3 linked regions of the Danio rerio genome follow. The protein of the gene in region 2 interacts with the protein of the main gene of each other region in a pairwise test. Links are inferred from orthologs where the notes say so. Each region holds a gene or a part of one and is shown on either strand. Other genes may lie near its edges.

What was found.
Region 1: the proteins of exoc1 (region 2) and sfr1 interact in a two-hybrid assay, tested with the Homo sapiens proteins (2 studies listed by BioGRID and IntAct). The link is inferred for Danio rerio from reciprocal best matches to the Homo sapiens genes EXOC1 and SFR1.
Region 3: the proteins of exoc1 (region 2) and nup54 interact in binary tests that used the Homo sapiens proteins (3 or more experiments, as listed by UniProt). The link is inferred for Danio rerio from reciprocal best matches to the Homo sapiens genes EXOC1 and NUP54.

What each region holds. Positions count from the first base shown.
Region 1 is NC_133188.1:27,957,152-27,965,167, forward strand, and holds sfr1 (swi5-dependent recombination DNA repair protein 1 homolog), read right to left. Parts: upstream 4,216-8,016; 5' UTR 4,055-4,215; coding exon 3,968-4,054; intron 3,799-3,967; coding exon 3,472-3,798; intron 2,297-3,471; coding exon 2,109-2,296; coding exon of another isoform or gene 2,105-2,108; exon of another isoform or gene 1,966-2,104; coding exon 1,962-1,965; 3' UTR 1,938-1,961; coding exon of another isoform or gene 1,762-1,937; 3' UTR 1,676-1,761; downstream 1-1,675. Other genes in the region: cfap43 (cilia- and flagella-associated protein 43), read left to right, coding at 1-21, 129-282, 1,762-1,937. UniProt on the Homo sapiens protein: Component of the SWI5-SFR1 complex, a complex required for double-strand break repair via homologous recombination. Acts as a transcriptional modulator for ESR1.
Region 2 is NC_133195.1:28,554,423-28,561,641, forward strand, and holds part of exoc1 (exocyst complex component 1), read right to left. Parts: intron 5,109-7,219; coding exon 4,949-5,108; exon of another isoform or gene 4,924-4,948; intron 4,672-4,923; coding exon 4,654-4,671; intron 3,481-4,653; coding exon 3,293-3,480; intron 2,412-3,292; coding exon 2,184-2,411; intron 590-2,183; coding exon 457-589; intron 378-456; coding exon 268-377; intron 74-267; coding exon 5-73; intron 1-4.
Region 3 is NC_133196.1:122,859-130,743, forward strand, and holds the start of nup54 (nucleoporin p54), read right to left. Parts: upstream 4,216-7,885; 5' UTR 4,201-4,215; coding exon 4,164-4,200; intron 3,939-4,163; coding exon 3,846-3,938; intron 1,821-3,845; coding exon 1,743-1,820; intron 1,325-1,742; coding exon of another isoform or gene 1,196-1,324; intron 717-1,195; coding exon 633-716; intron 310-632; coding exon 172-309; intron 1-171. Other genes in the region: bxdc2 (ribosome biogenesis protein BRX1 homolog), read right to left, coding at 4,554-4,805, 4,988-5,116, 5,188-5,289, 6,258-6,308, 6,624-6,697, 7,031-7,080, 7,165-7,235, 7,654-7,697 and 1 more. UniProt on the Homo sapiens protein: Component of the nuclear pore complex, a complex required for the trafficking across the nuclear membrane.

The DNA of each region.
Region 1 (8,016 bases), on a different chromosome or scaffold from region 2:
ACCTTAGATTTACAGAAAACGGTAAGCTTCATTGTTATTTGTCAAGCACCTTCTATAAATAGGATGAAAAGTGATTTTAATGAGTATTTCAAATATAAAAGTTTGATTTAGCTCCCCTCTTGCCACAGGCTCATCAAAAGAAAATTGAGATTTGCAAGAAACAGAAAAGGCAGCTGGACAGACAAGTTGCAAAGATGCAGGAGAAGAACGCAGCCCTTGACTTGAGAGTGGCAGAAATGGAGATAACGGTGGCAGAGAGGAGAAATTTTTACGAGGCTGCTGGTAACTGACCTAATGTCTTGCCCATTAAAGACAGAATTCATCCAAGTATCAATATACTTTTAGCAGAAACAGAGTCTGTGGTAGTTTCATTGTTCAGGAACGTGAGAATATTTTGATTACACTATTATTCAAAGGTTTGGGGTCAATACATTTCTTTAAAGCAAATTAATTTCAATTAAATTCAATAGGGTAATAAAAAAATGTAAAATTCAAACATTTTTAAAAAAAAATTGAAATTCATGGGCAAAAAACAAAACAAAAAGGGGGTTTCTAGCATCAAAACAAAAAAGCAATGTCTGCGCAATAGCCTAGTGGTTAGCATGCCGACATGTGGTGCAGTAGCACGTCAGAGTGACCAGAGTTCGAATCCTGGCTCGAGGACATTTCCCTACGCCTCTCTCTCTCTCTCTCTCTCTCTCTCTCTAACTTTGCTTCTTGTCTCTATACTATCTTACTATTTTAAAAAAGGCCAAAAATAAATCTAAAAAATTCAATACAGCTTTGTTTTTACATTAAAATGTTGTTTACATTTTAACATATATTTTACCATAATTTACAAAAGCCACCCATTAAATTGGAATTTTAACAAGTTTACATAAAAGGCATATGTAAATTTGATATTTAAAAACTCATATTGGAGCCCCAAAAAATAATTAACTGCAATTATTAATATTTATATTTTAACACTGTCTTTCAAAGCATATTCTGTTTTATTTGTTAAATAACTATTGTACATTTACAATTAAAGTCAGAATTATTAGCCCCTGTTTTTTTTTTTTTTTATCTTTGTCAGACTCAGGATGTTAGTAAATAATATTTGACTAGATATTTTTCAAGACACTTCTATACAGCTTAAAGTCATAGGCCTAACTAGGTTAATTAGGTTAACTAGGCAGGTTAGGGTAATTAAAAAATTAAAAACTGATAAAAAATATTATCAGACATACTGTGAAAATGTCCTTGCTCTGTTAAACATCATTTAGGAAATATTTTGAAAAGAAAAAAAAAATCAAAGGGGGCTAATAATTCTGACTTTAACAGTCATTTTATAAATTGTGCAGAACAAAGTATCTTAATCTGTAAAAACAATACGCAGAATTCTGAGATAAATTATCATAATTGACACTTAAACAGCAGAGATTGATTAAACTGCTCAAAAATGCTTTTTTTGATGAATAATTTGACTACTGGAGTTATTCAGCTTGGCCTTCATATAAACAAATTGTGTATCTATATATTGATCATCATTTACTGATTAATGTTTATAAGTTAAATAAGAACTCTTTAAAAAATACCCTATGAACAGAAGTATATCGAATTAAAGAAAAATATATTTTTAATAACAAACGATTTGTACATTCTGCCTATGGTTGATGAATTAGGACTCACCATAGCTGTTTATCCATATTTATTAATGGTGCTAAAAATGCATAGGAGCCTGAACAGCTCACAAAATTTGATAACATTTTCTTTTTCCAGCAATGGAAGATAACCAGGAAACAGAGTCAGACAAGAACTACCAGGACATCCTCCTGAGAAAGAAGCTGCTGGCCATCGCCAGAGCTCAGTCTGAAGAGCTGCTCCTGCTGAGAGCGGAGCTGGAGAAACTGCGCATGAAGAACTTCCCGTCTCTCTCGCAACTGCACTACAACTGACTCTACATACAAAACGCAACAACTTTACCTAAACAATAAACAACACACAAAGGTGCAATAAATTATTATACAGTTCAATCAATTGACAATCTTTCTTCGCAAACGTTTTAATGAACAAAGCTCGCTGCAATCTGTTTGAACTGTGAATAAAAATTGCTGAAATGTATTCACGTGTCTGTGAAGTCTTCCTCTGTCCTATCAAAGTGCAGTAGTTTATCATTAATCCCAAAGCTGTCAATAAGTTGTGAAAGACTGGCTTGTTTTCCACCTGTGGCCAGTTCTCTCTGTAGTTCATACAGCACAGACTGAGCACAGGATCTCCATTTGTCTGTGAGCCTCTGCAACTCATTCAAGTCATTCTGTGGAGAGAGAAAAACAGCTTCAAGAGCAGTATGCTTCGCTCACAAATAAATCATTTACTTACTTATGGTGATATTCATCAGAAGTACAAAATAAAAAGTATCGCTTTATATTAGACTCTGTCATTTAGTTTGTGGCATCTCAAAATACAATGTTTGCATGTAATCATTTTTCACCATTTGGATGAAACGTGAATATATTTTATATTATGGCTGCACGATACTGGAGAAAATATGCAATATGCGATGGTACTGTTGAGTGTTGCAATAACAATATTTCCTATGATATAACAAACTTTTTATTAGCAATTTTTTTGACAAAAATAATTTATTTACTCTACGATTATACTAAAATAGACAGGTATATGATTCTTTGAGCCAATTTTAAAAAAATGTGTCAAGGTTCAAACATTTAGACTTTAAAACACCTTGAATAACTGAAAACCACTGCTGGAGTTCTGATTCTCATTGGCTGCTGTCAATTTAATATCTTGTCTCCCAGCATTAATATTCACTTTCAGCTCTAGGTTCACCTACTGTAAAGGTGGGCATTAAGATAGTTAAGGCCTCTATGAAATACAAAAACATAAAAGTAATTTAATTTATTGCACTTCCCTGTGATATACATTTAGTCATTTGGCACACACTTTGGTCCAAAGTGACTTACAATTGAGGCAAATCATCAGTACGAGGCAGTACATACAGCACGGGCTAATTATACAAAGGAACAGTTAGTGCTTAGAGAATATAGCAAGAGAATATCAGCAAGAGATTTGGATATTGCATATACTATTACTGCAATAACAATGATTTTTCAATATATCTAAGCATATTGTTATGGTGTGCCTGCGATCATTAGTTTTTGAAAAGTGACTTATATTTCATTAATATTTATTTCAAGTTTCTACATTCTTCTCTCGTGTCCCTCGAGTTCTAAATTAAGGGATAAAATTTAAAAAACATATAGAATTTTTTAGTATAGAAATTAAAATAAAAACGTAATTTTAAAATTCCAAGTGGTCAATTTAGAAACTCCATTAATTTTCTAATTTTTTACAGAACTTACAAAAAGGCATATATACATATATCAACATATGAGATGACTTATATTATATTTTCATTATATTAGTTTTTTGTTGTTGTCTCCCAGCCATAATTTACGAATTTATATTTACCTTTTTCCTGTACATCTTGACCATCTTTAATCTCCTCAAGGTTTCTGTTCTCTCCTTCACCGCTTTTCTCAGCGCTTCGCATTGCTGACTGGGGAGCTCAGCTGTGTGGTTCGAGTCTCTCTGCAGCTTCATGTCATTCCTGTTGACATCAGTCTCTGTAACGTTAGAGTCTCTGTCGTCTTTGACACCGTGTTTCTCTTCTTCTCCCTGCTGTGAAGGCTGAGGCTCAGTGTCATCCTCTATTTTGAGTCGTTTTACCACACTGAGGGGAGACTTGAACGAGTGTCGAGATCTTTTTAGCTTCTCCCTCAGCGAGGCACTCATGGGCTGAAGAAAACAATGTCAACAATGATCAAAAGAAAGCTCAGACATGCAGCAGAATTATGTTTCGACGAAAAATAACATGTAAGAAAGAAAAAGTGATCTATCTTTTTCGCTAATGTTAGTTTATGTGAAAACAAATATCGTATAAAGTCAAAAAGACAATAAGCTTTACCTTTGCAGTACTGGACCTGTTTGAAGACTGCTCGGCGCTTGGCGTAGTTTCATCAGCTGCTGTTGGTTTTATCGGGGTTGTCTCCATGTTTTACAAGATACGAAAAGAAAAAAACGACTACATAACTTTATCATTTGTGATTTAGTACTCTCCAAAGCAGTTCTGTGCGAATATGATCTTCCATTTCTAAAGTTGTCAGTGAACACAGCTGTTTTGAAACTGGTGCCATTTGTTTCGTCGTCACTTCCGGGACCTTGTTGCGTCGTTGTTATTAACAAGACTCATGGGTAATGTAGTCTAAAAGAACTATTAGTGTATTTTGTTTGCTCTAAATTTAGTTATAATGAATTTAACTTATCTTAGTGGCCACATAAATAAAGGAAAGTTGCTGTCCTTTAATTTGTAGGGATTTCGTTATATGTATATTGAGTGTAGTCTTGTGAGACAACAGTTTCAATGCACAAACTAGCACAGTACAGCCATTTTATCTTTGTATAGCTTGCTGATTTAAGACATATTTTATACAGCGTGGTAGACAATTACATTATAAAACTGTAGGAAGAAACTGTAGCGGAGAGTGGGTAACAAAAGCATTGTTACATTTGATTTCCAGGCTATAACAGCACATTTAGCATGCAGCCCTTGATGGAGATGACAAATATCAGCTGATTTTGCGACCTTGTCCTGCAGTTTGGTCTAAATTTCAGTTTTGAAGTGGAAAAAGAAAATTAGTGTATGCTACTTTTTTCCTCATTACAAGTTGTGTTTCTCTTTTCATGTGTTACGGTAATGACCAATCTACAGGTTATTTAGTGCAATAACACATCCTTCAGTTTGCAATGTCTAAGTTTTTCAGTTTAAAAGTAAAGCAGGTTTAAATGGCAAGAGTTCCTGTGGCGACGAAAGTAACACTGTTATTTGTGTCCCACTGCTAATAGCCATGCCTTATTTTCACTTCCACGTTAGTGTTCAGTGTTTTGGCTCATATGCTTTATAAGATTGATGCATATTGCCAATAATAATTAAATAATCTTGAAAATTTGTATAAAATATTAACATTTTGCATTGTTGGATTGCTTTTGTAACATTTGATGGAACTGAAATTTAAAATGAAAATGCAGTTCAGTATTTTTTTGCCAAAAAAAAAAAAAAAAAGACAAGGATAGGCGTCACGGTGGCACAGTGGGTAGCATGATCGCCTCACAGCAAGAAGGTCGCTGATTAGAGCCTTGGCTGGGACATTTTTGTGTGGAGTTTGCATGTTCTCACCGTGTTGGTGTGGGTTTCCTCTGAGTGCTCCTGTTTCCCTCACAGTCTAAAGACATGTGGTACAGGTGAATGAATAAGCTAAATTGGCCGTTGTGTATGTGTGTGAATGCAAGAATGTATGGGTGTTTCCCAGTGTTGGGTTCCGGCTGGAAGGGCATTCGCTGTGTAAAAAAACATGTGCTGGAAATGTTGGTGGTTCATTCCACTGTGGCAACCCCTCAAGAATAATGGGACCAAGCCGAAAATGAAATGAAATGAATGAATGAATGAATGAATGAATGAACAAGATTACGTCAGTGAATCTAGCAAATATTGTTGTGCTACTTTTGACCCACCCGTGTGTTACTTTCAGTAACAATGTGCAACTTTTGTTTAAAGTTGGAGTTGTTCTTTGCTGAGAGAAAATAACAACTGAGCACACAACAGGTTTTTATGAAAAATGGTACTTTCGTGCCCGCTTTTCCCCACTAAAAAAAAAAAAATCTGTGCCTTAGCGTTTTATTTTAATTATCTTTAATTCACAAAATAATACAGAAAATTTATATTTTAACAGATCAGTTAGCCAGTATTGATTATTAAATTGACCATTACACAACAACAGCTACAAGAAAATTACTGGGATAAATTAGTCAAAATGAATGATGTTGAAATGAATCAAACTCTGAATCTACACTGATGAGCCCAGTTATGCAGTGTTTATATAACAGACATGCTCAGTAAGCACTGTCTGCACACAGAATAATTATGGATTTGGAGAAACATTGATAAACAATAACAGTTAAGTAACACATTCATAAAGGGAAAAAATCAGAGTCATATTGCATCTGTGGTTCAGAACATTCACGTGTTTTTATTTAAGCTCACGACTGTTCTGCTTCTTCTGCAAATCTTGTTATAACTCGCTTGCCAGTGATACCATAATTGTTTAATAGCTGTAGACTCATCATGTTCTCTTACATTTTCCCGGTGATTTGAATGAGGTCTAGTTCAGTGGTCAGGGAGAGAGAGAGATGCACATGAGGTGGAGTCAAAGCTCTTTTGTGAATCATATGCATTTTGTCAACAGGGTGTGGTCAATGGGAAAAATGAATCAAAAGAAAAAAATATTAATCTCAATAGAAACAACACCCTTTTCCCCTGGGAAGACTGAATGTCCTGAATTCCATTTGGAATACTTGTGTTGTTCAATGATCCAGTCGTTACCTGATGATTCACTGATAATGAGTCATTAACTTACATAAATATAGCATTCAATTTAAAAACCTGTAAAAATAATAAGAAGAACATCCTTGAATGGGCTATGTGCACAGTGTTTTTTAACCAACGGTAAACTTCCGGGGAAAGGTTAAAATGACTATGGTTCTTATGTTCTTATGGTTCTTTTTACAGTATTAACATCGTAATGTAATTAAATCACAATCACCAACAATCCAATTGCATTGGATATAAACATGATATAGATTCTAAAAATATTAATTCGTTCATTCATTCATTTTCTTTTCGGCTTAGTTCCTTTAATAAATTCTAAAAATATAAAAAATAAATAGATAAAAAAGGCAAATATAAATATGTATAAATTTTTTTATTTATTGTTTTTACAGCTTAATTTTATTGAATAATTATGGGATAATATCTTGGCAGAAAACTAATAGTGCTGTGCATTTACTTTTTTCTTCTCTTTTTTAACAGTTTAACTAAATGTAGGCCTACCGTATCCTTAATTAACCCCTCTTCACTTCAGTTTATAACTGCAGATACAAATGCTATTTTTTTTACTTATAAGCACATTCAATATGTGCTCAATATCTGTACTTTCATACTTTGTTGTTAATAGATTTTTCATGACTAAATTAAGTATTGCATTATTTACAAATCATTTGTATTTAAGAGTAGTTGGTGGCTTTTAGAATCATTCAAATTGAGTTAGTAAACGATGAATAAATCAGTCAAATCAATATTTATATCTTATTATTCAGGCATATACTAATAGTTATTTTGTCTGTTAATAAATGCTTTATTAACTTAACTTCATCCAATTTTGTAACTTAATCTGAAATGAAGACTATTTATGCTTCATAAATCTCAAATAAATTATACAATTAAAGGCCCAGTATCAAATGAACTAATCTTTAAAAACCAGCAACTTCTCTCAAATGACTGGTTTGTCAATGGTGCAGTTGCAGTATGTAAGTTTGACACCCAGTGGTTGAACTAGGTATAACATTCCTGAATCAAAACAAACACAAGCGCAGGTTGCCAAATAGAGGACTGGAGCGAGTCTTATGATCGAGCCTAAAGGCTAAATTTAAATCATGTTCTTTACAAAAGCAACAGCTTGCGATAGAAGGTATATTTACCATATTAAAAGGAGTTTTTGTTCTAACCAACACCTGAAATTGTTATATTAGGAACAGTCTCTATTTCTTGCAGCTGAACAACAGAAAACTGACAACGATCACCTCAGGTAGGCTACAGCTCATGTGCTTTATTCAGTGTTAAATGCTAACAATGTGAGTTTAAATGCCATTTAACATGACATTTATTACCATAAACTGAAAGCAGCAGCAGATAGTTCACCTCAGATTTTGAAAATAAAATAAACCGTTTGAAACTGAACTTTAGAACTGACTCAGAGCACATAACAGGGATTCAGCATCATTTAATAATGTTAAAGAGGTTTAATATGTATTAATTAGATTATAAACCTTAACATTTTGTGAGTGAGTTCATATTCTGTGCTTGAATGGCTGTATTTAAATTTCTGTTGTGTTTTGTCTGGT
Region 2 (7,219 bases):
TCACAGGGAGTGACAGACAGGACGACCTATAGAACTGAGGGATGGTCATTTTGAAGTGACTGAAGTGGTTGAACTGACAGAGGAACAGAGAGCACAGGGAAGTAAAGTGATATAGAGACTGGTGGCCAAAACAGGAACACAGGAGAAAGATTCAAACACACTGAATAAAAGACTTATTGGAAAAGGAAAGGGAGCCTACTGGTTTTTTAGCAATGGCACACATTTTATTAAAAATTTTTTTACCTGTACCACATGTAATAACGTTACCTGGTGCACAAACACATTGTTGAGGTGGTTGGTGAGACGACGGGCAAAAGTATCTCTGAGCTCTGAAAACAGATGCTGCTGTTGCTTGATCGCCATCAGCTTATCGTGTCCTGGAATTACACAAAATCATCAATGCTGATCTGCAAGTGCTGCTTTCACACAGTTTGAGGTGAAGTTTGAAAGCAGTACCTGGTTTGAGAGCAACATTCATGCACTGTGAAAGAGCCTCAGAAGCGTTGATACAGGCCTCGATACCCTTAGGAGAGGACAAATCTCCTTCTTGCAAAGCCTTAATGTGCCCTTTTGAAAGATCCATGTAGTTCTAACATGATGAAAAGAAGATAAAAAAAGGTAAAGAATAATTGAAATAATAGACAATATTCATTCATTCATTCATTTTCCTTCAGCTATTTATCAGAGGTTGCCTCAGTGGAATGAACCGCCAACTATTCCACCATATGTTTTATGCAGCAGATGCCCTTCCAGCTGCAACCCAGTACTGGGAAACTAATAGACAACATCAAAGTTGTAATTAAACTGTCATTTTTTTATTGAAAATTTTTTAATCAGATTTTTTTTGGATTACAAAGGCAAAGTAAAGAAAATCTAATTATACAAAAGAAGTCTAGGGACAAATAAATGTTTATACAAGATTCCACAATTAAGCCATTAACTATTGACTATAGGGGTCCAGGGGTTTGTACATTGATGAAATGTAATCTAAAATAAAATAAAATAAATAAATAAAAATAAAAAAAAAATACTTTTTAAATGAAGAAAAAACATTACATAGTTTATATGTGGCTTAATATGCTTTGACCATTAAACAACACAAGCTTTATTTTTCTGGTAAAAAAATTATCACTTTAAATACAGGAAAAGCAGAGTTTCCCAAACTAGGGTCAATAAGGGAAAAGTAAAGAATGAGAAAACAGTAAAAGAAAAGGTTTTATTACTGAATTATTAATTTTTTTTTCCTTAAAATCTAAACTTAAAAATCTAGATTTGAGGTCAGTTTAATTAAGTTTTCAACACACTTTAACAGATAATCTGAATCTTACTGAGAGTGAAATTGCATGAAATCCATTTGTATGAAATCCACATGTTAAAGAAAAGCACATCAGATTACAATATAAGGTCCCTTTGGCAAAGTCTAACAGATTTTAATTTTAATTTGTTTTCGTGCTATTGACTTGCTAAATCCTAATAAGACGAGGTTTTTAGTACTACTGATATTGTATGTTGTCTGTCTTGTGTGTGTTGTCAATTTTGTAAATCTATTGTGCTCCAGAACAAATTGCCCTAAAAGGGGACAATAAACAGTAACAAAAAATAAATAAATTAAATAAAACTGTTCATAGCCAACCAAATATTCATGTTCTTTAAGCAACAGTTTCTGATAGGGCCAGACGGAATCTGCGGACGTTGTATTAGCTATTTCTGCTGAGAATTTTGGTAAAAATCTGCAGATTTCAGCAGAATTATTTTGGCAGTATCATAACTAAAACCTTAATATGTGAAATAAAAATTATATCTTTTTAACTTTTATTTAATGTTTAAAATGCAAATCCAATTAGATCCACTTTTTGGCAAACAAAGCAAATCTCTCATTTAATATCTCTACTAAAAGACTTATTGCACATAGATCAGATAAACATTTTCATATTAGTCAATAACATTACAGAAATATTTAAAAAACTGAATAAATAAATATTTACACACATTTACTCAAATAAATAAACAGAATTATTGATGGGCTAAAAATCTGTGGAAATCTGCAAAAAATCTGCGGATTCTGTGTGGGCCTACTGATGGGTCACAATGGATCACTAATTTTCCACCCTACCAGTATATGCTTGTTGAGGATTGCATCGCCAAAATTATGATGTGCACTTGTATACCGTGCCCTAACATACCACTAGAAACTGTATCTCATCCAACAGTTTGCCATTGTTAGTGTTGCTGATTTGGATGAGACGGTTGCTCTGTGAGATCTGGTCCATCTGCTCCTTCACGCTCTGCAGCATCTCCTCATAACTGAGCAGCTTCCCCTCGATGGTGTCCACCTCCGCCAGAGCCTGGTCCAGCAGCTGCATCAGGGTGTTCACCTGCTTTTCAGACGCCATGATGGACTGGATGTTAGCCTGATCAAAGAGGAAGAGATATTATTAGTCACCATCTCTAAAATCATACAACTGTCAACCAATAATCAAACTACGTGCAACTACTGTATAATTTACTTGCTAATCAGACAAGCTTTAAGCCTCACTCACCTTGACCTGTAGATAATTATTACACTTGGCTCAATATAGATAAAAATCCTGATGACTGGTGCAATCAATACTTTTCAGGTGCTAACACGACATAAATCCATCAGACTAGATCAAACTAGATTTTAAACAGCTTGGTAAAACAATGTTCTAATAACACTCAAGATTTCGGCAACAAGCGATTGCATCAAACACAATGCGACACAACAGAAACATCTAAATACTAGCCATTCATTTAAATATCAGCCACTGCACTGCCAACAATATGGAAGGTTATAATCTAACTAATATGTATTTAACTTCATTAGAACATTATTACATAGTCTGAGTGACAGATGTGGTTTAAGTGACTGAGTCACAGTTTAGACTTCTGCAAGTTTTGTATGGCAATAAATGTCACATATAGAGATAACCAAAATAAATAAAATAAAGCATATAATCTCTACTTGAGGTGATAATTGCCATAGTAGAATTGAATATGCTGTTGTTTTGCTGTATAACGTGACCGACAACTCAATTACAGTAATTAGAGTATTAGTAATTAGCTACTTTACATCACTGATTATGGGTATTCTCTAGCTGTACCCTCGATATTGAGGTGAATTGTGGGATTTTCTGAGTGCACTTCAGAATGTCTATGTTGGCTTCGGACACCTCTACAAATGGCTGCTCCCTTGAATGTGCATTAAGTGTATCATTTAAGGGTCTAGGGGGCAATTTCTGTTACAGCCAAGGAAATATCTGAACATACTCACCCCATCTAGGACCTGAAGCTCACGAGACAGTTTCTCTGCGAAGGCCTCAGCGTTGGAAATGGCGTATTCACAGACCTCCATCATGCCCTCAATGTCCTGCTCCTCACGGGCATTCAGCTCCTGATAGTCATCCAGAGCGTCTTCATCTCCACCAGCAACACTCTGACTCTCGCCACTCGGAACCGACTCTGGGAAGAAGAAGAGACAGGGATCATTAAAAAAAAGTGTTTATATTATACATTATGCACCACTGTTAAAACGTTTGGGGTCAGTGTAAATTTTGTAAAAAAAATAAATAAATAAATAAAATACTTCAGAAGAAAAAAAATACAAAAGTGACAGTGAAAACATAAATTCACAAAAGATATTTTATGTCAATGTAGCTATTTTATTGATGCATTTATTAATATTAACAAATGCAGACCTTTTTTATTAAAGAAGCCTAAAGAAACAGATGAAGAATGAGGTGACACTAAAGACTGAAAAAATTAAGCTAAAGATTTGCTTTGTATGTGAAAACTGTTATTTACATTGTAAAAACATGTAAATATGTAAAACTGTGTATATAATATGTTACATTGATAATACTTTAAAGCAGGAGTGTCTAAACTTGGTCCTGAAGGGCCGGTGTCCTGAAGATTTTAGTTTCAACCCCATCTTTTTAGGTATACTAGAAACTTCCAGGGAGGCGTGTTGAAGGAAATTGGAGCTAAACTATGCAGGACACTGGCCCTCTGTGACCGAGTTTGGACACACCTGCTTTAAAGTGATAGTTCACCAAAACTGAAAATTGTGTCTGAAAATCGTATAATCTATTCACCCTTAACTTGTTTAAAAATCTATTTGAGTTTCTGTCTTCTGTTAAACAAATAAAAAAGATATTTAGAAAAATGCTGGCTTCTGGAACACATTGACTTCCATAGTGGTCTTCCACAGGAGAAAAAAACTCATAAAAGGAACGTAAATGATGAGGAAATTTTCTATTCCATTTAAAACTATCACTTTAAACAATTTAGCTGTTTTTCCAATAAATAAAAAGAACTTTAGTGAACATATCAGGTATTTAAAACATTTCTTAAAACTCTAACCAACCCCAAACATTTGAACAATAGCTTAGATATGCATGTGAGTACATAAACTAATCTACTGAACAAATAAAATGTAAGTAATAAAAAAACAAGCACACATAAAAAATCTAAAGGGTGAGCACTGTCTAAATATATGAAGATATCAGTAGTTGAGCAAACTAATTAATTGGCGGAAAATAAGAGCATTAATGAAGGGGAAACAATAAGAGAAGATGGAAAAAATGGAGAAGGAAATGGAAGAGGATGAAAGGTGGAAAAAAACAGCGTACAAACCTTCAGCTTTAGGAAGCTCTGGCCAGTGAGAGATTTAGAGAGAACAGCACAGATCTGGTTAAAGCATTAAGGGCACTCAAAAAGACACATTGCAGAACCAAAAGAGACCCAAAGAGAGAAAAGAGAGAACTAGCTGCAGGAAAACAGAAAGAGTCCCTACCACTGCAAATGTAATAATTCTATGTAACAGCTTTAGATTTGTCATATGGCTTTAAGGTAACTGCATCTTAAAACACAGTGGCTGTTTAACATGCTATTACTCCACCACACCACCAGGAGTAGCAGCGAGTCACACCTTCTAGCAGCTGAGGGCTGACGTTTACAAACTCCACTTTCTTGCGAAGGTAACGCTGGTTCAGCTTCCAAATACACGAGATGAAGGAATTCTTCTCTGCTGTACTGCTTGCCACCCAACGATAAACCTTCTCAAAATGCAGGTCAAACTCTGGGTTTTCCTGCATGAAGGAAAAAAAATAAGATATCAATTACATACAGGCTGATGCCCATTGATTATAAGTTTTAGATTAAAAAAAAAGTAAATGTAAGAATAAGAATAAGAATCAAGAAAAAAGTAATTGCTGTAAAGTTCTACAAGTGAACTTAGGAATGATATTACATTATATAGAATAACATTACATTATAATGCACCGTATAATTAAGTGTTCTTAAATAATTAAGATTTAAAGAGTACATAAATGTTTAGTTAGTCTGGATTTGTTTTAACTGTAAAAAATCCAAAGAAACATTCCTTCACGGTTTCTGGCATTGTGAAGAAATCATCTCTTTTTGTAAGAAAGCACATCATTTTCTACAAGGACTCTTTAAGATACAATTGAGTTTTTCTCTGGAATTGTATTTGTTATATGGTGAAGTAGAGAATAGGTTGGACTCCCACACCAAGCATTTGTTTTAATCTTGGTCTATTTGGCAAAGAAAAGTAGACTTTTATTGTGGTCATCTCCTCAGGTACCCTCCTATAAAATGTGGTTGTCTCAAGTGTGTATGCTACCACTTGAGAAACTCATCTATGACATACATCAAAAGTCCAATGACTTTTGGCAGCTATGGACACCTTTTTGGCCTTTCATTATTATTTTCACCAGATTTTCTCTTCTATGGTTTATACTCATAGCCTGACTGTATCATCCTGTTTACTTGTCTATATAATTTAATTTTTTTCCTACTGTATAGCTGAGACTGTATTTGTATGTGCTGATGTATTAAAATAACCGATGATAAAAAATAAAAAAAAAACGTTTAGTTAGTCTAAAAAAATATATACTAAAGAAGTGTGATAACTGTTGACTGAAACTGATTTTTCCATTAATATAAATAAAGATGTAATCATTTAATACAAATTAGGTTGAAAATCCTAATTTAAAATGTTGCTTTGGCAACTACCTGAAATAAGTTTAAGCACTAAAATGACAAATCAACAAATAAAATAAGTGACATTTAAAAATAAATAAAATTATTATTTTTTATTTTACAAATGTAAATAAATCTCAAAATATGATACAAAAGCCACTAATGACAATACATTAATAATCCTAAAATATACCTGTATCCAGCATCATCAAACAACCGGTAAGATAATAATATCAATATGTAACAGAAATGTGATTATTTGCATTTATGTCATGCTTGAACAGATATATAACCCACCAGTCCTACCATCCAACCCGTTCTGAGCTGGGATCGAACCAGCGATTTTTTTGCATGGGAGTCGGTGGCTCTAACAAGGTTTCATACACATTTTTACTACAAAAATTCCAGGACTTTTCCATGATTTTTCCCAAGACTTTCAAGTAAATTCTTATGACCTAATGTTTCATGCAATGTCTACATATGCATGGTAAAAAACAATACATTTGTATAATACCAAAATTATTACGGCATATACTAAAACACGCAACAATCAAATTAGTTTCAATTTATATTTATTAATTCATTCATTTTCTTTTTGGCTTAGTCCCTTTATTAATCTGGGGTTGCCACAGCGGAATGAACTGCCAAATTATCCAGCATATGTTTTACGCAGTAGATGCCCTTCCAGCTGCAACTCATCACTGGGAAACATCCATACACACTTATTCACACACATACACTACAGACAATTTAGCTAACCCAATTCACCTATAGCGCATGTCTTTGGACTTGTGGGGGAAACCGGAGCACCCCGAGGAAACCCACATGAACACAGGGAGAACATGCAAACTCCACACAGAGATGCCAACTGACCCAGCCGAGGCGATAGTGCTACCCACGGCATCGCCATGACACCCAATTTACATTTATGTCTATGTAAAATTTATTTAAGCTGAAACTGCACTAATAATGTAAGAGTATTTGATCAACCAAGGACAGAAAAGAAGTAAAGACAACGAACCTATATTAAAGTATACAGATATGTGTTGTCCATGACTTTTCCAACTGTCAAAATTCCATGACTTTACCAGGTTTTCCATGACAGTATGAACCCTGTCTAACAAGGAGACTAAAGACCATGACCTCTAGCGTCTGTTGCTAGAGCACGTTTTGAGGTCAGAGGAGTGAGGTTTACCTG
Region 3 (7,885 bases), on a different chromosome or scaffold from region 2:
AGATCTCTCTCACGGCCCGCCGGCCGACACTCCTGCTTCAACAGACTCCTCTGCTGGACTGTCATTCACTCCAGCTCCATGTGCTTTATGCAGAATATCAGCTGTTTCCACTGCTCTGTGTGTGTGTGTGTGTGTGTGTGTGTGTGTGTGTGTGTGTGGCTCTGACTTCACCTTGCTGTGTGTTCTGCAGCGCACCGAAGCCTCCAAAGCCCAGAGCTCCTCCACCCAGAGCCCCAGTGAAGCCTGAAGCCGGAGCCGGAGCGCTGGAGAAGCCGAAGCCCTTACTCTGGGTGTTGAAGAGACTCGAACCTGCAGGCGGAGAGGAGACGCGCTCAGAGACAAGCACACACACAAACACACACACACACACGCATGCGCACACACAAGCATACACACACACACACACACACACACACATATGCATGCATGCGCACACACAAGCATACACACACACGCATGCGCACACATACACACACAGTGTCCCATTTCAGATACACACACCACACCCTAACACTGTGTGTGTTAGAGACGTGTGTGAGGTGTGTGTAGTAACTCTGCAGTGTGTGTGCACGGGACGCAGCATCTCTCCTCTCTCTCTCTCTGTATGTGTGTGTGTGTGTGTGCGCCTGTACCTGTGTTAGCCGGTGTGGAGAAACTGAAGCTTGACCCAGTGCCGGCGGAGGTGGTGGTGGAGCCGAACCCGCCAAACGCTCCTGCTGGAGACAAACACACACCACAGATGAAAAACACACACTCACACACACGCACACGCACACAACAGAGACGAAAAAAACACACAAGATGAAAACACACACACACACACACACACACACACACCGGAGATGAAAAACACACTCACACACACACTCACGCACACGCACACAACAGAGACGAAAAAAACACACAAGATGAAAACACACACACACACACACACACACCGGAGATGAAAAACACACTCACACACACACTCACGCACACAACAGAGACGAAAAAAACACACAAGATGAAAACACACACACACACCGGAGATGATGAGCACTAACTGTTGATGACATGATCAGAGTGGCACCAACACACACACACACACTACGTCTGTCTGTCTGTCACTCTCTCTCTCTCTCTCACACACACACAGGGATGGAGGCGTGGCGTGATCTGATCATGCGTGACCTTTGACCTCTCGGAGCTCATCTACCTGCTCCCCCGAGGCCGCTGCCGAAACTGAACACCGGGGCCGCAGGGCCCAAACCGAACCCGCCGAAACTAACAGCAGCGGCAGAGGGGGCGGGGCCAGGGCCCGCACTGCAGACCAGGGGCCCGAATCCTGACCACAGCGGCCCCAGGAGAAACACACACACACAAACAGGAGAGAGTCAGTGTGTTAGAGACAGCGCGCACACACACACACACACACACACACACACACAGGAGAGAGAGAGTCAGTGTGTTAGAGACAGCGCACACACACACAGGAGAGTGTGTTAAAGACAGCGCATGCACACACGCACACACACACACACACACACACACACACACAGGAGAGAGTTTGTTAGATACAGCACACACGCACACACGTGAACGCAAGCAAACACATGCTCGCACGCACGCGCACACACACGAGAGAGAGTGGGTTAGTGACAGCATATGCACGTATGCGCACACACGTGCTCGCTCACAAACACACACACACACAGAAGAGAGTCAGTCAGTGTGTTAGAGACAGCACACACACACACACTCACCCGTGCCACCAGTGCCGAAGCCGAAGCCTGTGGAAGCTGATGTGGTGGTCGGCGCTCCAAAGCCGGTTCCGGTCAGACCTGTAACCATGGCAACAGCATGTTAGCAGCGCGTGCGTGTGTGTGTGTGTGCACGCGCAGTGAAACATTACTGATGATGAGGATGAAGGCTGTGTGCTATACTGCATTAGAGGACTGTATAGGGGCGATGCTGTCTGTGATGGAGAGGAAGGGAATCCTGCTGTTATTATAGTTAATTATAACTGTTTTCATGCCTGAACATAACGAAACCACAGAACAGACCCGCAGTGAAGAGCAAGCGGCGCCCCCTGGTGGATCAGCAGTCTGGGTTGTGTATAGGGAGGATCGGCTCTGATGTTTGTTGCCAGCCTCCAGAGAAACAGCTTTACAGGATGATATCGGGACAGAACCGTCACATACAGGAGAACGGCGGGAGGAAGAGCAGCAGGGTTGACGGTGTGGTCTGCTGACGGCAGCTGAACTGCAGCACATCTCTCTAACCACAGTGACCCCGTCATCATTACAGCATACAACTCACTCTGACTGAACTGTGACAGGTCAATATAACCAACAACCAGCAGAACCCTGACCACACACACACACACACACACACACACACCACTCAGATGCAGAGTGCAGATGACGAGAGCAGAGTGTGTGTGTGTGTGTGTGTGTGTGTGTGTGTGTGTGTGTGCTGAGGAGGGAACTGGGGGAGCGCTGCTGTTATGTGTAATGGAGGTCAGCTAGTGAGTGCTGTGCAGGTAAACCTCGATCCTCCGACCTCTAGAGGTGCTCTAGCGACAGACACTAGAGGCCATGGTGTTTCGCCTCCTTGTAAGGCCTGGTTTATACTTCTGCAGCAAGTGAGCGGCGTGACCCACGGCGCATGTAACGCGTGTAGCTGTGCTTATACTGCTGTTGCTAGCTCTGTTGGTCTGCATTAACACTTCTGAAGCACTAGTGGGCAGTGAGGTGTAAATGTTCCTCTGTGTCGAGTTTCTTCGCTGCTGTTTTGCTATCCTGAACACTTCCTGGATGTACAAGTGGCTCAAACTCGCTCATTTTGAGGCAGGAACCGGCGGACGTGCAGCAACTGTAACCATGAGGGAAACACAGAACAAAACTCTCCATCCGGAGCTCCTTCACTTGTAAACATTCGCGCGGCTCTCGGTCCCGCCCAGACTCGTCAGCGATACCAAGCCGACCAATCACAGAGCTTGCGCTACGCGTTGTTGTGACGTGTAGTTACATTTTTTGAGAGGTGCACGTCAGCGACGCCGATGGCCACGGCGAATGGCTATTGGTCAGCGGCGTAGCATACGCCACCGTTTGCCGCAGAAGTATAAATCAGCCTTAACATGCGAAAGGTCGCCGGTTTGATCCCAGCTCAGTGCAGGTTGGGTGGTGTGGGACCGGCGGGGTGACACATGCAGACCTTCACCCCAACACAACCCCTGACAGAGCTCACTAGCAGACTCTACAGTGAACTCCTGCTACCAGCCAATACTGCAGAGCACAGCAGCGGTACTGGAGTGTTACTGGAGTGTGTAGTGTGTACTGGAGTGTGTAGTGTGTACTGTAGTGTATACTGGAGTGTGTAGTGTATACTGGAGTGTGTAGTGTGTACTGTAGTGTATACTGGAGTGTGTAGTGTATACTGGAGTGTGTAGTGTGTACTGTAGTGTATACTGGAGTGTGTAGTGTATACTGGAGTGTGTAGTGTGTACTGTAGTGTATACTTGAGTGTGTAGTGTGTACTGTAGTGTATACTGGAGTGTGTAGTGTATACTTGAGTGTGTAGTGTGTACTGTAGTGTATACTGGAGTGTGTAGTGTATACTGGAGTGTGTAGTGTGTACTGTAGTGTATACTGGAGTGTGTAGTGTATACTTGAGTGTGTAGTGTGTACTGTAGTGTATACTGGAGTGTGTAGTGTATACTGGAGTGTGTAGTGTGTACTGTAGTGTATACTGGAGTGAAGAGTATCAAAAAACGTCACTGATCACAAATTGAACATATTAAACTAGCTTTACCTCACAGGCCCGGGAGAGAGGGAGAGTGTGTGTGTGTGTGTGTGTGTGTTTACCGAAGCCCGTGGCGCTGCTGGCGGTGGTTGTGGTTGAGGCGCCGAAACCAAACGGAGTGGATGAAGATGACTTAAATGAGAAGCCCGGAGCGCCTTCATCATCATCACCATCACACACACACACACACACAGTTATGAACGCACAACAGCAGCCGCACAGTAATGAAAACACACACACACACACACACAGAGCAGATGAGATGAGCGCCAGTGGTTTACAGCACAGTGGTATCAGGTTTACAGCAGTATCAGCGCTCCTGCAGCGCCGTCATCATGTTTAATGTTCATTATTAATAGTTTTAGATTAATTTTACTCACTCGCGCTGCCCGACGCGCCGCCGAAGTTGAACGCCATGCTTCCGGTCCTGAGCGAAACGGTCCGCCCGGAAACAAAAGCTGTGAACAAGAGGTTCCTACCGGTAGCGTCGCGTCACACACTCCTCCGGCGTAGCGCGCGAAAACATTGATATAGATTAAAGTGAAACTGGAGCTCATCAGCAGAACAGCGCCGCTCAAATGTTCAACTGTGCTTTTGCACTCAGAGTCCGCCATGTTGGGACATTAAACCTGGCCGTTATTCAGTTGCGGCTCAGGATGTGCTGCAGTCAGCAGACGACATGAAGACAGAGACACAACCGTCAACATTAATAAAACATCTTTATTAACACACCATGATGATCATGAACACACACACACACTCGTGCAGATTCACACACTCAGGCCCTTCTTCTTCATCAGGGTCTTCTTCTTCAGCTCCGTCAGCCGTTTCTTCTTCTTCTTCTGGGGCCCCGGGGCCTCCGGCCGTGGGGCTTTGGGCTCCGCCGGGGTGTTGAACACGGCCTCCGTCAGGTCAGGCTGCAGCAGCACACACTCCTCCATCCGCTTCTCCATCCGCACCTGCTTCACCATCTGACGCTCCTTCTGCCGCGCGGCTGCAGCCAGTCGGAGCATGCGCCGGTGCTGCACACACGCGCACACACACACACACACACACACACACACACACACACACACACACACACACACACACACACACCAAAACAATATTAACACTCAGATCAATAACAGATCAGTAGCAGACAGTGCTGCGTGCGTGCGTGCGTGCGTGCGTGCGTGTGTGTGTGTGTGTGTGCGCTGCTGACCGCGTTGGGTGACTGGAAGTGTGGGTTCTCGTAGAGCGTGGGTCCGCCGAAGCTGCCCTGGAAGATGCGTATGGGGTTGAGGACGAAGCGCGGGCCGATCTCCACCAGCGAGGCGTCCTCCTCCACGATCTGCAACAGGAGAACAGCGGTCAGTGGAGCGCCGCAGAACCGCAGATCCTCTCAGAACCGCAGAACCTCACCTGATAGTTCCGGAACCAGATCCTGTGGTCTGCAATGCTGAAGCTGATGACATGATCCACGAACGGCTGACTCTTAGGGTGGTGCAGCGGGGTGGAGAAGACCTGCAGGACACGAGCAGTGTTAGTGGACATTGCAGACCAGTACAAACCAGTTTGAACCAGTCTAAACCAGCTATAAACCAGCCTAGACCAACTATAAACCAGTCTAGACCAGCTATAAGCCAGTTTAAACCAGTCTGTGCGCTAGTTTAAGTCCTGAGCATGTACACTGGGGCGAATACACACACACACACACACACACACTGGATTAAAGGCGGCTGTAGCTATGGCGGGGGCTGATCACTGAGGGCTGTTCTCACATGCCGTCTTTTCTACAAGCTAGTTTGCTTTTTCGTGAGCGGCACGATGTGCTCACGCTTTCCAGGCACACCAGGTTAAAAGAACGGTGCGAGCGCACTGTGCATCACGTGACTAGAATGGACCAATCAGCTTCATCCTTCATATGGAACACACACATTACTGCTCATGAGAGAAACACGAGATGAACAGCAAACACACTCCTAATGCAGCCTGCGACTGCACACACTCTCTCTACAGGCCAATACTCACAACCACATCAATAATACAGACAGCTGTTATTGTGCTCACTGACTGACTGATTGATCTGTCGTTTATTTTCAGTGAACACATTATTCCTCATGTTTAAATGCCAGAAACTCTTGTCTTCTGTTGAGTCCACAGGGAAATGCTGCTGGGTCTGCTGTGCATCAGGCAGCGAGCCGCAGTGAAGAGCTCTATACTGTCACCAGCTGATGCAGCACAGCAGCGCCATTACACATGACAGAGTCTTCCTCAGACTACAACCACACATCCAGCATCTGCAACCCTACATGCCAGAGTCAGACGAGGAAGATGAAGATCAGAGGAAGATCAGAGAGGAAGATGAAGATCAGAGAGGAAGATCAGAGAGGAAGATCAGAGAGGAAGATGAAGATCAGAGAGAGATGAAGATCAGAGAGGAAGATCAGAGAGGAAGAGATGAAGAACAGAGGACAAACACTGAAGAGCACCTGAGTGAAGAGCTCCTTCAGCAGTGCGTACTGCGGCTCCGAGTCAAACGCCTGAAACACACACACACACACACACACACACACACACACACACACACACACACACACAATCATCATTATTACACTACATACCATCATCACACACGCTCATCATCATCATCATACACACACACACACAATCATCATTCGTACACTACACACACCATCATCACACACGCACATCATCATCACACACACACACATCATTATTACACTACACACAACATCACACACACACAATCATCATTATTATACTGAACACACAATCATCACACACGCACATCATCATCATCATCATCACACACACGCACGCACGCACACACGCACCGGGTCGAAGGACAGCAGTGGTCTGGAGCCCTTCAGGCAGTTCCCGGTCATCTTCAGCTCCGCCAGAGTGTGAACTGAGAGAGAAATAAAGCTGCTGCTCTTCAAACACTTCAACACTTATGCACACGCAAACACACACACACACACACACACGCAAACACACATGCAAACACACACACGAACGCACCCACACACACACACGCACTGCGGTAATCACTGATTAATTGTGCATAATTATATTCAGCAAACCCCCACACTGATGCACAGTATAGCCCAGACCCTGTGTGTGTGTGTGTGTGTGTGTGTGTGTGTGTGTGTGTGTGTGTGCGCGTGTGTGTGTGTGTGTGTGTGTGTGTGTGTGCGCGTGTGTGTGTGTTTCCATTGGTGGAATTTTAATGGACTTGTACCGTTTTGAACGAGAAACTTCACCGACGGTCCGTGAGGAACATTAGAGATCCTGGAAGAGAAGAGCAGATACTGTGAACATGAACACACACCACACACACACACACACACACACACACACTGCTGTGCTGCTCACCACATGTAAAGGTCCTGCTTTTTCTTGGCCTCAAAGAAGATGCACTTGTTGCAGTTCTTGATTTCACAGACCTGAAACACACACACACACACACACACACACACACACGCACACACACACACGCACACGCACACACGCACACACAGGTGAGAGAGAGCTTTAATTTTATTGTCATTTCAGCTTCTATGGCTGTCATGGCACAATAAAACAGATCAAGGTTTCCAGAGTTTATAAACACACTTCACTATATTTATTAAAGTTCTAATAATTAAAAGTGATTAACAGAAATAAATAATACACAAGGTAAATACATAAATGATGATGATAAGATAAAAATTACAACAGTTTTGATCAAAATTCTGCAGTTTTAGAGATTCACATTCAACACTTTGGCTTAAAGTGTCTGCAGATGCAGACGGTGTGTGAGAACAGCAGAATCTGAGTCTGCTGCACAGGCCAGAGTCAGCCGGGCGCAGCGAGCTGCTGTACCTCGTTCACCACGAAGAGCTTGTCTTTTCTGTCCATCTTTGTGTCTGAAAACAGAACAGAGACTCAGCATCAGCGCGCGCACATGTGTGTGTGTGTGTGTGTGTGTGTGTGTGTGTGAGAGAGAGAGTGTGTATCTGTGTGTTACCGGCTCTGCTGTGTGGCATCAGGGTCTTCAGGTCCTGCATCAGGTGTCTCGTCCTGAAGCTGATCCCTCGAGAGGAAAACACCAGCA